Diceros bicornis minor: one gene and its partner. The protein of the gene in region 1 interacts with the protein of each later gene in a pairwise test. Links are inferred from orthologs where the notes say so. Each region holds a gene or a part of one and is shown in the gene's direction. Other genes may lie near its edges.

Region 1 (3,911 bases):
GATTTTAAGACATTGGCCTTACAGGACAAGGAAGTTGCAACCATTGGTTGGAATTTCCTTGATATTTCCCTGCTCCTGTTCATTGATATTTCTCTGCCTCTGATCTAAAAAACCCTGATTTTTCAAGAGCTGGCCACAATATGAGGCAGAAACAAATGGAAGAGAACAGGGCAGAAGCATGTAGTCCCCTGAGCTACTTATTTAGAAACTAGGAGAGCAGCAACAAGGTGTTCAGAGGACTTGACTGAGCAGGTTTCACACTTGAGGCTGACCACTCAACTATCATAGATAGCTTAGGCTTTGCTGAGCCAACACCTTCCACTTTGAGGCAGCTTACAGTAAAACACATGCACAGAAAAGTGTTTAACTATAAATCATCAACAGCTATATATAAAAAAGAGGGTTAATTGTACTAGGAATCAGATACGAGGTAATTACTGAGCATGCTATTAGCGAAAAATGGAACCATGATAGTTTAAGATTGCTACATTTTAATGGCTGTAGCCTCAGTTGTGAGGGTGGGAGCGCACCTCTACTCTAGTCTCTCACTTTTCTCTTCTTTTGTCTTATAGTTCGGTTTGATTTAATGAATTCAATTTGGATGCTTCCTTGCTCTTATTATAACCTATTGGATATAAAGAAGCAAATTGGTAACAAATAGGTAGTTTGAGGAGAGAGCCATTAATATTTATCTTGTAGCCATCAGACTTACTTCACCTAGAAAGGTCTCTGGGTTGGTTTTGAAACGTTGCATATCCCATTAACCAAGTTATTATACCAAGCTAAAAGGTCTTTAGGATTCTTTTGCAGCTCCACCTTCCATGAAATTCTGGAACTCTTTTCCCTTATCTCGTCAGTTTCCTACTCCCTCTTAGTCTACTCCACTGATTTCATTTCAAAAACATCCAGTTGGATGCATGAATTAAAATGCCTTAAAGAATTTGCAGATTTGATTGTTTTCTTTCAAGAAGGTGAAAGGAAGAGAGCTAGAATTTCTAAGAAGACTGGTTTGACTGTCTGAGTCTGGCCCCCAGGCAGATTAGGCCAAGGTTTTGTTTGGCCAAGTGAAATTGCCAATTCCCTAAAAGAAAAGGCTAGCACATTGCTCAGTAGAGCATTCTGAACTTGCCTGTGCAATCTTTTTGCTACCCTGCAATTTCCTGTTGGTTATAAATGAAACCTTTCTAGCTGTTAACGCAGCCTGTGAGTTGAAAAAAAAAAAAAAGAGTGTAATTAATCATAGGAGGTTGGGGGATTCACTAAACCTGAGTTATAGGGGAGAACTAGACAAGGCACTAGGACCTAGAAGGCATCTATCCACCCTGGCAGGAATTTCTTGCTTGGAGCTCAGACAACAAAGGCATAGAGAGATTGGTTTTCTTTCTCTCAGCATCTCCACCCAACCAGCAGAAAACCGGTGAGTGGGGCTTTCAAGTGATTTTCAGGCAGAATGTAACAGATGTCAAACGGGAAAAGCACAAGGCAAAGTGCACGCTCTCTCTCTTTCTCTGCTTCTCCTTTTTTTTTTTTTTTTCCCCCTTTGCCTTATTCTATCGGATTTTTTCCTAAGCCTCTTCCTGGGATTTTCCTTTGGAAAAGTGAGTTTGGTGTTGCTTTGTTTTTACCGTGATGTTGATTTAGAATAACACCACCCCTGATCCTAAAGCAAAGCCGAGCTTTACTGGCATGCCTGGGGAAATGCTTCCTACTTGTCTTGAGGAGGTGGGGTCTCTCACCACTGCAGGTTGTCTGACAGAGACAACGCTGAGCTCAGCACAGGTCATGGTGACATTGGAAGAAAAGGGGGACCAAGCCTGGCAAAGCGACTAGGCACCAGTCCTCCTTTGTCCTCCTGGTCCCTTGCAAATATCTCAATGTGGCAATGTGTAGCAGCTGAGCCCTGCTTTCTTTGTGAGTCCTTTTATCCCCATCTGTGAGATGCATGTTAATAGTTTGGTTCCTAGGCTGTCACTACCTTTGCTAGCATTTGGAGCTTCTGTTGCATTTGGTTTCATGTTTTGATTTTTTTTCTTTTTTTTTTGGCTCAGCAGAAGGGGGGAAAGCAAATCTGACAGATGACCATCTTTTGCTTCAGCCAATGCACCTGGGCAATACAGAAGTTTGGGGTGAATTGCCTGCCGTGAGGGCAAAATGCCCCCTCAGTCAGGGTAGAAGTGCAGAACAATGAAAGGTGTGCTTGCTTCTAAAGGTCCCATATGCTGTTCAGGAACTCATTTAGGAATCTTTCGACAATTAAATTATTCCATTAAGAGGTGCGGCTGCATCAGTGGGGAGGAATCGAGTGCCTAAAAAAAAAAAAGGAAAGAAAAGAAAATGATTTTGTGACCAAATGGTAACGGGGGAAAGCAGAGCTAACAACTTGTTAACTAACGGATTTTTCTAATCCTTTTTTTCAGCTTATTGCTTATGAATGTTGGATAGCTGCACCAGCTTGGTGGGGGAAAGGGTTTGGTGAATAGCACAAAGATGCTGGCTATTCCCTGGAGGCTGTCCCTTTAAAGGAGAATCCTAGTTTATTCTGGGGGGAGGGGACACACACATTAGAGTAGAAAAAAGGATTTGGAATAAAATTAAAACACTCGCCTTCATAGTCATTTTACTGAGAGGCAAAGATTGCTTCCTAAACTGGAGATGCTAACGTTGGCTAGCTCCTTCTGTTCTCTTCAAGGAGAATTTTGTCAGGCTATGGATTCATTTACAACTGTTAGCCATGTGGGCATGTGCGAGGAAACAGATGCCAGTTTTAATGTATTTAGCCCGAAGTCACAATTTGATAGGAGCCACTGTCAGTAAGTCCCAAGATTTTAAGCTATTTCAAAATTCCTCCTGCTCCTCTGTTTGGAACAGTGCCAAAAGTGCCTCCTTCCCTATCACTCACCCCCAACCCCCACAACCAATAGCACCCCCCTAGCCCCTCCTTCTTCTCTATTAAGATCAATATTCCTGCAGGTCAGGGGCAAGCAGCAGATGGGTCACGGGCTTTTTTCAACCAGTTCTTTTCACAAGCAGCAGATTGCAGATCTGGATCTAGCTAATATTTGAATTCCTTTCGTTTTTTTTCCTCCTCACTCCTTTTTCTTTGCCTCTTTTCACTCTCCCCCGCCCCTTTCTACAACACTCAGGTCTCTGAGGTTCCACCAAAATATGGAACTTGATTTTGGACATTTTGACGAAAGAGATAAGACATCCAGGAACATGCGAGGCTCACGGATGAATGGGCTCCCTAGCCCCACTCACAGCGCCCATTGTAGCTTCTACCGAACCAGAACCTTGCAGGCACTGAGCAACGAGAAGAAAGCCAAGAAGGTACGTTTCTACCGCAATGGGGACCGCTACTTCAAGGGGATTGTGTACGCTGTGTCCTCTGACCGTTTTCGCAGCTTCGACGCCTTGCTGGCTGACCTGACTCGATCTCTGTCTGACAACATCAACCTGCCTCAGGGAGTGCGTTACATTTACACCATTGATGGAGCCAGGAAAATCGGAAGCATGGATGAACTGGAGGAAGGTAATTCAAAGAGTGGGTGGTGGCCCTTGGTGGGAGGTGGCAACATTGGTTCTGGTTACATTTCTTGGATTTCATTGACAGAAATTAGAAAATACATTTGTCAAAACACCAGGTTGATGCTTAGACTTCTGATTCTCTATGTATCGACAGAGCCAGTAGCCATTACCCTTCATGGCCTTCAGTCTCTGCTGGAGTGAAGTGTAAGATGGTGGTGATAATGCATTGTGCTTATCTGTCAGGGTTTACAAAGGAAAATCTGAATTGTGTCATTTACTCTAGACCTTGTTCATAATTAAGTAGCACTATCGAGGCAGACCATGAAATCATTATGGGCGTAAACTGAGGAAGGAAGTTAAGTTGGGTTAACAGAGAGAAAATATTA
Region 2 (3,911 bases), on another chromosome or scaffold:
AGGCTTGGTTCTCGAGCCTGCAGGCTCGTTAGACCCGCGGCGCCGAACGCGGAGTGACGCGCCGCCTGGGAGCCGGGGCCCGCCCGTCAGACTCCTCAGGCGCCGGCGCCTCGGGACGCCGCCACTGGGACTGGAAGCGCGGCGGAGCGGACCCAACTGCCGTCAGACGGACGGCGTTTTGGGTTCACCTTTTGTAGCCTGGATTTTGGCTTAATTCAACACAAACAGCGTCTTGGAATTTTACTTAATTTTTTCCAAAGTCTACGAGGTCGCAACAGAACCTCTACCCGAGTGCGTGTGCCGGCTCCCCGAAGAAAGCTCGCTGGGACCGGGAGCCGGGGGTCACCGCAGGGCCGGGCGCCGACGGTGGGGAAACCCTCCAGGTCCAGCCACTGGTGGGACGCACTGCTCTGGGGCCCGCCTCCAGGCTCGCGCAGACCTCAGGCAGCCGTGATTCTGATTGGGGGACTTAGGCGGAAAACCCGCTTGCCTCAGCCAGAACGGGGTTTGATCGGTGGCGGCACACAGTCGCTCGTGTATAGTCCAAACCCGGTGTGATAAATCCCGCCTTAAGAGGCGTTCGATGACAGTTTTGTGTTGTACGGCAAACGGTGATTGGTCACAGCGCTCGCGGATTCGGTCGGTAGTAAACACAGGGAGGCTCCTGGGACCGTGGATTGGTCAGTGTTCCGGGGGCCGAGCAAATACCCCCGGATTCCGAGCGCCGGCTGGCTGCGTTTCTGCCCCGGCCACGCCCCCTCCCTTGCTGATTGGTTGCAGCTCGGCCGGAGGGGCGGAGGAATGGAGGAGTAGGCGATCTCGCGTTGCGTCACTTCCGTTTACTGTCGGCCGCTGCCGCGGTGTTCTCGGAGTGCGGCGGCGAGCGGGCTGAAGGAGCTGGGGGACAGAGGCGGGGTGGCCGGGGGCGGGGGGGGAGGTGGGCGGAAGGGGGAGGAAATCCCATCACGGAGACGCCAGCCTGGACGTCCCCGCTCCCGACACTGTCGGGTCGGGTCGGAGAAGGGTCACCACCTCCTCCAGCGAGAAGGGGGGTGGAGCCCGGCTCAGGTGAGGCGAGTCTGTCAGCGCGAGCGGCGGTGGCGCGCGCGGGCGCGCTCCTGTGGAGACGGTCGCGCTCCGGGGCCTCGGGGCGGGCGGCGGGGGCAGGGTCACGTTTCGGGTCGCGCGCGGACGCGTGCCGGTGTCGTCCGCAGCCTGCCCTGCCTGTCTTAACGAGGGGTATTGTTACCCTTCGTGGCGGAGGGGCCCGGCGGGTTCTTCTGCGCAGGCGTCCCCCGTGACCCGACGCCAGGCTGTCTGCCTGCCGGCTGGGGCGGGGGCTTCGGCCCCCTCGGGTCCGCGGGCGGGCGATGTTGGTTCCTGGGATGGGGTGGAAAGGCCTGCGGACCAGCAGCCTGTCGCGGTGAAGAGAGGCTCTGTCCCGCTGCGGGATGGGGGCGGGTGGCTCCCATGCCCCCAGCCTGGGTCTCCTTGAGCGACGAGGTTTCATCACCAGAGTGAGGCCGAGGCAGCCAGGCATCGGGAACCGGTGGCCGCCGCGGAGGGGTGGCGCCAGGGTTTTGGAATGCCCGGACTTGTCCGAGGACTGAAGTGTTGATGGGCGTTTATTGACTGCCCGCTACCGACGGGCCTCGGGCGGGGAGCCGTGGGGGTGCAGGGGTGAGGCGCAGCCATTCCCGCCCGTCCCTTGTGTGGAGGCCGGGCAGGGTTGTGCATCGGTACATAAGGCAGTGGAGTACCGGGGGTTGAAGGTTAGTTCCTTCCTTCCCAAAGAGGTTATTGGTAATTCTGGCGTAGTGGAGGGCACTGTAGAAGCTGATTTCTGAATAGGAGACACACCTAAATATTTCATTGGGAGAAAAATTTTGAGGTAAAGTCTTGATGACCAAGTGGTATGCTCGGGTTCTGGATAATTAGAATGAATAGAAGAAACCCTTCACCTTCAAGAACTGAAACAAAAATTTTTCAAAATATGTTAATATACTTTTCAATTGTAGTAAGTAGAAGATATTACATACATTGGGATCTTTCTTTAGAGGTTGAAGAGAGTGCTGTGCCTTAGTCGTCTTTGATGGTTTGTCATCCTTGTATGGGCCCTTGTGTCTTAGATCTTTAAAAAAGGTGGGCTGGGTTCCTCTTCGTTTCCTTTTCATTTGCTGAAGTATTGCGATTTCCGTGGTGAGGGTGGTTGGCAATAAGCTACAAGAGCCGAGGCGGAGGGAAGAGACCAGGTCGGGGGAGGAGAAAGAGAATTTTAGAGAAACGCCCCTAAACCAAGGGCAGGCCTACCACGATTGCTTTAACCCGCTCTGGAAATCCCAGCAAACTTGGGAAGACTGGCCTGGCCACCGCAGCTAGCTTGGTAACCTGCCAGGTAAGGCTCACTGGTTGGGGACCTGTTCTGGGCCCTTGGGTTTTGCTGAATGAATGAGCCAGGACTTTTTTTTTAAAGAGTCCTGAAGTCGACTTATTTTTTGATTTGCTTTTTTTTCTCCTAAAAATTGTATCAAAACATAGTATAGTTGGTTGGGGATACTGGCAAGCTGTATTCTGGATAATTGAGATGTCTCTAGGAAAATTCTGAAAGTGATGAAATTTGGAAGAAGAGCATCTTATAGTGGGGTGTTTTTCTAAATTTAGGGATCAGTGCTGTCAAAAGAGACTTTGGCACAAGATCATCACTAGTTGAAGTATTTAAAAAGATCACTTGGCTACAAAATGCATGTAGTGTTTTAGTATTTAAAGTACTTAGCATGAATTATATTGAACTGGAGTTCTTGATTGTGGGTAAGACTTTAAAATATCTTGTGTACAGTGAGATATGACAGAGCATGCTGTAGTGCTGGCACAGAATCTTGAATCTGCCTCAATTTCTTCTTGGAAAGGGAAAAGAAAAACCCAAGGTATTGATTCCATGTTAACTTTCAATTTTTTTTTAAATGTAAATTTGTTGTAAACAAATACTTTTCCCCTCTGTCAGTTTTAAGTGTATGATTTCTCTTTTACTGTACTTAACACTTCTCAAATATAGATGTTGTCTAGTAAAGCCAGTTTGTGTTAGTGTAGCAGGTGGAGTGGAATGTAACACTACACTGCAGGTTTTGTCTAAGTGTGAACTTCTCATATCTGAAAGACCAGCTGTTTCTGAGTGAACTATTGCTCTTTACAGTTGTTTTCATCACTGAGTAGTGGCTTTACTCTGAGCATTCAATTTTGGGGGGTGACTTTCATTTGATTAATTCTACGTACATTTGCTGAAAGCTTTGATTTATATTTCTGACAGCTCAAACAGATTAGGAATTGTGTTGGAGTATGACTTTATTGTAGTATAGTAGGCATAAACAGATTACTGTCTTAGTATCCAAGATTATTTTATCTGTAGGTAATTTTCCTTCTGATCTTCTAACATATTTGAAAGTGTTTAAGGTTCCAGTATTTCCTGGATTCTAAACCACATTTTGTTCACATTTTAATCTTGAAGACAGGATGCCATAAATTAGCATTATGCCCCAGCTTAATTAGCAACTTTTTTTCTTTCCTAATGTTACGTGAAATAATATTGCATTTTATAATCATTGGCATCTTAGATTTAATGAAACTTGATACACTTGAGAGACTTTTGTACCCAATTAATTCATTGTAATTTTAACTAATTAATTTTCCAAATTTGCCTTTGTACTCGGAAGAAAGTTTGTTATAGAAAGGAATCCTATCAGAAGTGAAATTTTTTCCTTATATAAATGGAAATTAACAAATATAGTGTTTTGTTTCCTTAAACTTTAAAGGATGATTGGGTGGTGAGTCTGCTCTTTGGAAATTTTACTTGGTAGTCTGTTACTTTGTGTACTTGATAACAAGTTTACAAATGCTTTATTTCCCCCTTCTTAAGT

Evidence for each region.
Region 2: the proteins of DCX (region 1) and ZBTB5 interact in binary tests that used the Homo sapiens proteins (3 or more experiments, as listed by UniProt). The two-hybrid records come from large-scale screens. The link is inferred for Diceros bicornis minor from reciprocal best matches to the Homo sapiens genes DCX and ZBTB5.

The regions. Positions count from the first base shown.
Region 1 is NC_080781.1:103,378,893-103,382,803, reverse strand, and holds the start of DCX (neuronal migration protein doublecortin), read left to right. Parts: upstream 1-1,367; 5' UTR 1,368-1,417; intron 1,418-1,535; exon of another isoform or gene 1,536-1,598; intron 1,599-3,143; 5' UTR 3,144-3,165; coding exon 3,166-3,529; intron 3,530-3,911. UniProt on the Homo sapiens protein: Microtubule-associated protein required for initial steps of neuronal dispersion and cortex lamination during cerebral cortex development. May act by competing with the putative neuronal protein kinase DCLK1 in binding to a target protein.
Region 2 is NC_080767.1:6,499,688-6,503,598, forward strand, and holds the start of ZBTB5 (zinc finger and BTB domain-containing protein 5), read left to right. Parts: upstream 1-985; 5' UTR 986-1,068; intron 1,069-1,173; exon of another isoform or gene 1,174-1,772; intron 1,773-1,778; exon of another isoform or gene 1,779-2,395; intron 2,396-3,911. UniProt on the Homo sapiens protein: May be involved in transcriptional regulation.